2 linked regions of the Coturnix japonica genome follow. The protein of the gene in region 1 interacts with the protein of each later gene in a biochemical or structural test. Links are inferred from orthologs where the notes say so. Each region holds a gene or a part of one and is shown in the gene's direction. Other genes may lie near its edges.

Region 1 (3,648 bases):
TGATACTCCATTCCTTTTGATTCAGCTTTGCAAATCCAACAGTTGAGGTTCCTCTGAAAGACTCCTGTGTTGTTCTTTCTGAAGTTGCTGGCTATCCCTTTTGTAATAGCTGGGACTAAAAGAGCCCTGTCTGATAAGTGTCTGAGATGGATGCATTTTCATGTCTTCCTTTAGGCAGCCTTTTACTGTATAAAGTGGCATTACAGTTAAAAATATCCTTTTTAACTTAAGCTTAGTTACTGTTGATCAAAGAACAACTTCTTTGCTGTACGTGAACTATTTCTAGTTCAGATTTCTGTTTTTAAAAGGGGAAAATGAGAAAATGCAAACCTTCTCATCGTTTGAAGAATGCACTTGATTTTGTCTTCTAACATCACTTCTGCAGATCTAAAAGGGAGGCTGATACTATTAGCGTAACTCTCAGGTTGACATAGTAGGATGCCAATTGCTTACCAGTGTAATGAGTTTAGCTGTCAAAGACATTGACAGGAATGCAGAAACTTCTGGCATTGCTTCTGCAGACATGAGAGGAAGGAGCTGGCAGAGTGTACTAACAGCCTATGTAAGATGACGAGAACTGTCTGTATTTTAACAATCAGTTTAAATGCACTCTTGTGTTCCTGCTGTTGATAACGCTGAGCCTAGAGAGGTGGGGAGGGAAGCACTTAACTCTGTGTGCATCAATGGAAGTGCATCTGTGTTGGCTGACAGAAAGCAGTCTGGTCTCTTCTTAAGTCTAACTGTCCCACAGGTACTGCACTGCACTGGACACATACGTGTATATGACACATGCAATAATCAAACTCACTGTGGCTACAAGAAGCCTCCCATGACGTGCTTGGTGTTGATATGTGAACCAATTCCTCACCCATCGAACATTGAGGTCCCCTTGGACAGTAAGACGTTCCTCAGTCGTCACAGTCTTGATATGAAATTTTCCTATTGTGATGAAAGGTAAAATATATTCAGCTCTTAAAATCTGCATTCATGTGAAGGAATGATTTGCAGGGGTTGTGTGTGTTGGCTGATGTGGGCCTCATGCTTTTACAGGCTCAATTATCTGCAAAAATGGAGTTGTCAGTGAGATGCTTTGGCTTTTGTACTGACTGATCAGGATGTCGTATTAAAAACCAAACTCTTAAGTGTAAGGAAGGTGTAGGGTAATAGTGAGTAATTCCTCAGTTAAAGGCCAGTTTGAACAGTGTTGTGGTAATGATTACATTGAAATGAGAAGATTTTTCTGGATGCTGAGAAAATGGAAGGGATTGCTGGAGATGGTGGTGCAGTTTATAGACCAAAAAGAGTACATACATAATATCTGTCAGGCATGTTGTGCTGCTTTTTTTTTTTTTTGTCAGATCAGCATCTGCTTTTTCCAGTCAGGAAAAAAAGTAAAGCTTTGTTCTACTTTTAATGCAACACATCTGTAGTAGAAAACAAGATTTTGTATTATGGTATGTCAGTGATGTAGTCTAATACATACTCATCTTACTACTCTTTGGAAGCTCATGCTTGATAAATCTGAAAAAACAGACAGGAAGGAAATCACTGGCCTTTTTTTTTTTATGGGTTCTATTTATTACTGCTAAGACCTTCCTTTTTTTCTTTAATGTAAAAACGAATTTCTAATCAGTTACTGCAGTTAGATACAAAAGTACGTTAGTATAGGTCACTTTCTGCCCCGTGCAGTAGCTTTACCTTTCTTAGGCTGCTGGTGGTATGTAAAACATGTGAATTTGGTGATGTTGTGCATAAAGCAGGGCCTGGTGCTTTTTCCTAGTTAGCGCTGCCCTCTAGGGGCTGTAGAAAATACTTTGAAAGCCAACAGTGAAGAGAATAAATCTCATTAATAATTTGTTTTAGTTGCATGGTTAAAACTGTTAAAGCATGTCTTTATTTTATTATATTCTCATTTGTGTAAGCTGGATATTCTAGTCTGTAAGTAGCTTGTCTACTTTGAAGCAATAACGTCTAAAAAGCAGGGATTTACTTAATCCTGTCCATCACAGGACATGCTTTATAAATATTCAATGAGAAGTAAAATCCTATGGCTGCTGAAATGTCTTGTATCTTATTAAAGGAGCATTAGGAAAAAAAAAAGCATACTCACACTAAACCATCATTGCTGGTAATGTTCGTGGAAGAGATTCTTAAGTTCTCTGTGGATCTACAGGCATCCATATGCTCTTGTATTTCTGTTGCTCAGTGTCTGCTCAGCAAATTTTCTCTTGTTCTAAAGAATTACAGAGTTGATGGGATATGAGCCAGAGGAACTGCTGGGTCGTTCAATCTATGAGTACTATCATGCGCTGGATTCTGATCATCTGACCAAAACACACCACGACAGTAAGTGAAAAAGATGTATTTAATGCTCTCAAGTACAAGAAGTGAGATAGAGAGCCAAGGGAAAGCCACAGAATAACAAGGGTTTTCCTTTTAATTGCAGATATGAATCTGCAGAGAATACCTAGCTTGAAAAGGGATATATTTTTTTCTGCCTGTAATTAAAGCTGATGTCTATTCTGGTTTTAGTGTTCACGAAAGGGCAGGTGACAACGGGACAATACAGAATGCTTGCTAAACAAGGTGGCTACGTCTGGGTTGAAACTCAAGCAACTGTTATATACAACACTAAGAACTCTCAGCCACAGTGCATAGTATGTGTAAATTATGTGTTGAGGTAAGTTAAGTAGGAATTGCTATTTTTGTCATGACTTATTTTTTTTGGAAGACTGAGTCAGATTCATCTTTGACTTGCTAAGAATCCGGTCCCTATTCAATATGCTGCAGTGCTATCTGATTTTCCTACTGATTAGCTTTTTACTTAGAATGCTGCTAGTCGTAGGATTAGGATTAAAAAAGACAATCACTTTGTAGAGATATCAGTGGGGAGATCTCTGCAGGCAAACAGAATTTGGGCATTGTAGGCACTTACCTAATTTTTGTCCACAGTCTAGAACAGTTATACTCACTGGTAATTCCTAGTGATGGAGTCAGAGGTATCCATTTATCTTTTTCTTCCTTTGAATTCTTTCTACTGAAACCTTAAACTTAAGGCAGACTTGAAGTATTTTTCTGCGACAGTGGAATAGTCCTAAGTTAGTTTTTCACAGCTTTAGTGAACGTACCAGTATCAATCCATCAAGATATAGTACCTTCATTTAAAAAAAGTAGAAGACTTTTAAGGAAAGCCCCGAAGTTTGTTTTACTTCTTTTTCTTACTTTCTTGATGCTTTCATGGCAACTTAGAAAATCGTGAGGGCTGAATTCTAGCTGGTTTTTAATCATCTTCCTTTCTGTCTGGCAGTGGAATTGTTCAGAAGGACTTGATATTTTCCCTTGGACAAACGGAGTGTATGCTGAAACCAGTGGAGTCTCCTGAAATGAAAATGACCAAAATATTCAGCAAAGATGACCTGGATGATACCAACAGCCTTTTTGAAAAACTTAAGCAGGAACCAGATGCTTTAACTGTGCTGGCTCCAGCTGCTGGAGACACGATTATCTCCCTAGATTTCAGCAGCAATGGTGGGTGTGTGTTTAAATTGGAGAGCATGCTAATTAGTAAAGTTTGGTATTTTGCAGTAAACTTTGGAAAATAACTTCCCACTTTCACTTGCCTAGTGATCTCTCAGCCACTGTTTAAAA
Region 2 (4,124 bases), on another chromosome or scaffold:
CTTCAGATGCCTACTTCTGATTGGTTTGGCGCTAAAACCATAAAACCTGACTGGGCTCCAAATCAAGCCATAAATCCATTTGTCATGTCAAAAACCCTGGCACAAATTTTGTGTCCGTATCCAGTCTCCACAGCTTGACCAAACAAAGTGTTCAGAGAAGAACTGGGAGGTGACACGACCTCCTAAAAACTATTGAACTACCAACAATTTGAGGAGAAGGGGATGTAGAGAACGGGGCATTCTTTGGGACCGTGGAAGTAATAGATAAATCCAACAGAGAGATTGATGGCAGATAATCCTGCTTCAGGCAGGAGAAGAAACAACAGATAATCTCAGTTTAAAAGCGTAGTATTTCTTCTAAGACATATGTTGCCGTGTAAGGGAGAGTCATTTTTCTGCACCTAGAGGTTGCCCAATGCTCTTTCTTCATCTGTGTGTTGAAGAGGATTACCTTTTCTTCTTCTAAAAAGCAAATTAAAATAGTACAACATTCTGATCAAGGACCACAACTGTGCTGCATCTTGCTCTGTAGAAACACATCAAAATATAGAGATGGATCCATTATGGGCAAAGAGCTAGGATGCAGTCCTGATTCTGCACTGAGCCTTGTTTGGGCAGTTTCATCTCTGCAGCCAGAAGGGCAGTGCCCACAGGATCTGCTGGAAGACCTCTCTTTTACCTCTAATCTCTCACTCCTTATATGTATGAGTGTCCCCTACACCTCTGCTCTACACCTCCCTTGCAGAGAGCAGGGGCCCAGCAGGGAAAGCAGGCTCCTGAGCTTTGAGGCCTCTGCCCATACCCACTGATTTGTGACCACTGATTTGTGCTGCCACTGTCTTCCCCTGGGATCAAATAGAGCACAATGAGGCAGACAGACCACCCTGCAGTGAGGCTGTATGCCTGGGATGGACAGACAAACAGATGAAGGGGAGTTGGAGTTCACCGCATCCACAGAGCAGCTGGCATTTCTGTTAATCCCAGAGCCTTGGGGAATAATCTGATGGAGAAGTTAGAGTTGCTTATAGCTCAGTGAAAATATCAAATCATATAATAGTTCTGGCGTTCTGAGGAACACTCGCAGGAACTCCTGAAAGTAGGTGAGTGTATTTTGAGATCCAGCACTCTGAAATGGAGCAGGTCAGGAGGACAGCAGCCCTTTCCATTGGGGGCCTTGTGTTGCTATATCTGTGATGCCTTAAAAGGCCGGTGGCACAGAGGTACTGCAGTCCTTATCTCCTCTGGGTGCCTGGGGCTCTGGAGATATTATATTTATAGCTCATCTGAAGTACAAATGTCTGTCTAATTACTAAATACATAGTGTGGGTAATCCAATGAAGCCACGAGTCCCTGTGTTTGCTCCCATCCTTCGCGCTCTCACAAACAGAGGCACCACCGAGCTGCAGCAAGGTAAGACAGTGACCAGTCTGGATTATACCATCCTTTGGCCCCTTTTCTTCTTTTCACCTTCCCTCTGTAACAGGGGCTGGAAGTTTCTTAAGGCTTTGGGCAGATATCACAAGGGGAGGGCTTCTTTCTTACCAGAAAAGGGGATTTTCGGTTGTTTGTTCGTTCCTTGTTGCCAGGGCACATACAGAGCATCTGACTTTGTATTTCCAGCCTGTTGTTGGGAACCAGGTGCTAAATAGCAGCTGTTCTTTAGTTTCTGCACTAATAATATGCTGTCGTTTCCATGTTCTCAAGGAATACAACCATGTCTAACTATAGACACTTTCCTGGTTTGAATAGAAAACTGAATGACTTCAGGCGGAAAGTGTGTGATTAGTGTTCTTTTTTCCTCTCCATCAGCATTTTCTTCTTTATGAAAGTGGGGAAAAATAGAGGGCAGAAGGAACATTTTATTTTTTTCCCTCTTTGAGACCATTTCCTAACAGCCTGCAAGGAAAGAAAGCCAAATCACAAGCGATGCTTGTTGATTTCTTGTTTAAACAATTGCTTGATATGGGTTACAGCAGCTGTGTGAAGAGGGAAAAGAAAGAAAAGCACTAAAACATGTCTGCGTATGAAAGCACAAATTCTTCAGAACCAGACTATAAAATAGCATTAGCAATAACTGCCAAATGCCAATTATCAGGCCATTGTTACATTAAATTACTTTTAACCTCATCTCATGAGAGCATTAATTTTCAAATGAAGCCAATAAAAGAAGACCTCTTGGGAAAAATAAGATTGTTTGTGCGTACGCATATATGTGTTTGGATGAATTTGTGCACACATTTTTAATATAAAAATCCTTATAAGGAAAATCTCTTTCATCCAGCGACCATGAAGAGTGATACAAAGGTGATATTTACTTTTAGTCCAAGAACTAAAACTATCACATTTTAAGCTAGAATTTGTTTATTGTGTTAGGAAATGAAATGAAAGGAGTTATTTTGTGGTGGCTTATTTTTCCAAAATACTGAGCAGCCATTGTTCAGTAGGCTTTGACAGGACCTCAGGCCCCTATCAACCCCAGTTGAGCCAAACCTAAGGCTCATGTAAATTGTCACCTCACTTCAAAGCTCTAGGAATTGACCTCAATCCCTAAGTGGAGATTTAAAAGGCAAAAGGATAGGCCGTTAGCTGATCCCAAACTGCTGGAGATCTGCTGACTTTAGCTGGGACGTGGATTTTCACATCAAATGTTGACTGAACACATCAGCATGAAGAAGTTGAATCCAGTCTCAGGGCTGTCTCTGCCCCCATTACAGCAGTACATGCAATACCCTCTGCAATGCTCTGAATCCAGAATCTGAATATCCGTGCCATTACATGCTTCTTGTATCAAAAATACAATTACCAAAATAGCCACATAGATGGGACTCACTCCCAAATGGGAGAGCCCAAGCTGATGTTTGCTCAGCTGGCTAGAGAGATCATTGAGTTGCAGTACCTGGGAGTACCCTGAGGTCTTCTCTGATTCATGACATAGATGTGGCTTATCAGTCTGCTCCCATGTTTCCATCTTCCACTGAGTAGGATATCACTGACAGTGTGTTTGACCTCATTTAGCTTGTCTTGTCTGGGATGTGCTCTCCAGGCTTCCTCTGGCAGGGGGTGATGACCATTAGTGTAGACTGTGTTGAGACAGTGAGCTTAAGAACAAGCTTGTTCCATCTTTTATGTGAAGAACAGAACATAATTTCATCAGAAATAAAAGAAAAAAAGTGATAAATACCAAATAGTCTGCACATGTCTATCTTATCTAAAGGCTTACTATCCCCTCAAGAATGCTTTGGAAGGCTTAACTTCTTCAAACACCACAGCTGATACTTCTGCACATCCCTATGTTCTACTGCACTTATGGTCTGTCCTGCTCAGTTCCATACACGGCTCTGATCTACTTGTCCCTAGTGCTGATGAAATGAGTTTTGTAAATTGGCTACAGACCAAAGGTAGCACTTCCTACCAACGATTGCAACATTGGCTCTGCGTGGGCCACCAGCACATGTTGGGAGCTACCCTAGCCAGATTTGCTGCTCCCCTTGGCCATTTTTTTCCCAGGATCCTGCAGTTATGTTCAACTGATGTGCAGAGTGTAGTAAATTGAGCACCGAAGAAGTTGTGTGTGAAAATAACATTTTCATGTCCTCAAATTCTTTGCCTATCATTCAGGTCTAAGACTAAAACAATAGGAATAAAACAACTATTCTGGTTGGATTCTTAGTGTTAAATTATCGTTGTTGCTACACAGACAGTGTTCCCCCTTAAAAACAAAACAAAACAGAACAAAACAAGAAAAGCAAAAGTAGCATTCCAATCATGTGCAGCAAAACATCAGTGTTGCTTGTTGTTTTTTTCTAAACACTAGCCCAAGATATTTAGCTTGAAAAAATGCAGGAACATGCATACGAGTGCAGATTTTTCACCAGATTTGAATTTAAAAGTGAAATAAAACAAAAAGGCCAAAAGCTTGTTCCCAAAGCGAACCCATGCTGAAGGCAGTCTTTCCAACAATAATACTTTGTTCTTACCTAGCATTTTAATATATGATTAATGGGTGAATATCTTTACTTATTCCTTTCCAAACAGCAAACCATCAGAACAATGCAGACTTTTGATTGCAGCTGGCAGGAGGCTGGGAGTGGGAAGACTCATTCAAACCCTTCCTTAATACAGAA

Evidence for each region.
Region 2: the proteins of HIF1A (region 1) and FHL2 form a complex in vitro, tested with the Homo sapiens proteins (2 studies listed by BioGRID). The link is inferred for Coturnix japonica from reciprocal best matches to the Homo sapiens genes HIF1A and FHL2.

What each region holds. Positions count from the first base shown.
Region 1 is NC_029520.1:49,074,651-49,078,298, reverse strand, and holds part of HIF1A (hypoxia-inducible factor 1-alpha), read left to right. Parts: exon of another isoform or gene 1-751; coding exon 752-954; intron 955-2,110; exon of another isoform or gene 2,111-2,233; intron 2,234-2,239; coding exon 2,240-2,346; intron 2,347-2,532; coding exon 2,533-2,680; intron 2,681-2,935; exon of another isoform or gene 2,936-3,307; coding exon 3,308-3,528; intron 3,529-3,648.
Region 2 is NC_029516.1:121,913,027-121,917,150, reverse strand, and holds the start of FHL2 (four and a half LIM domains protein 2), read left to right. Parts: upstream 1-1,283; 5' UTR 1,284-1,410; intron 1,411-4,035; exon of another isoform or gene 4,036-4,124. UniProt on the Homo sapiens protein: May function as a molecular transmitter linking various signaling pathways to transcriptional regulation. Negatively regulates the transcriptional repressor E4F1 and may function in cell growth.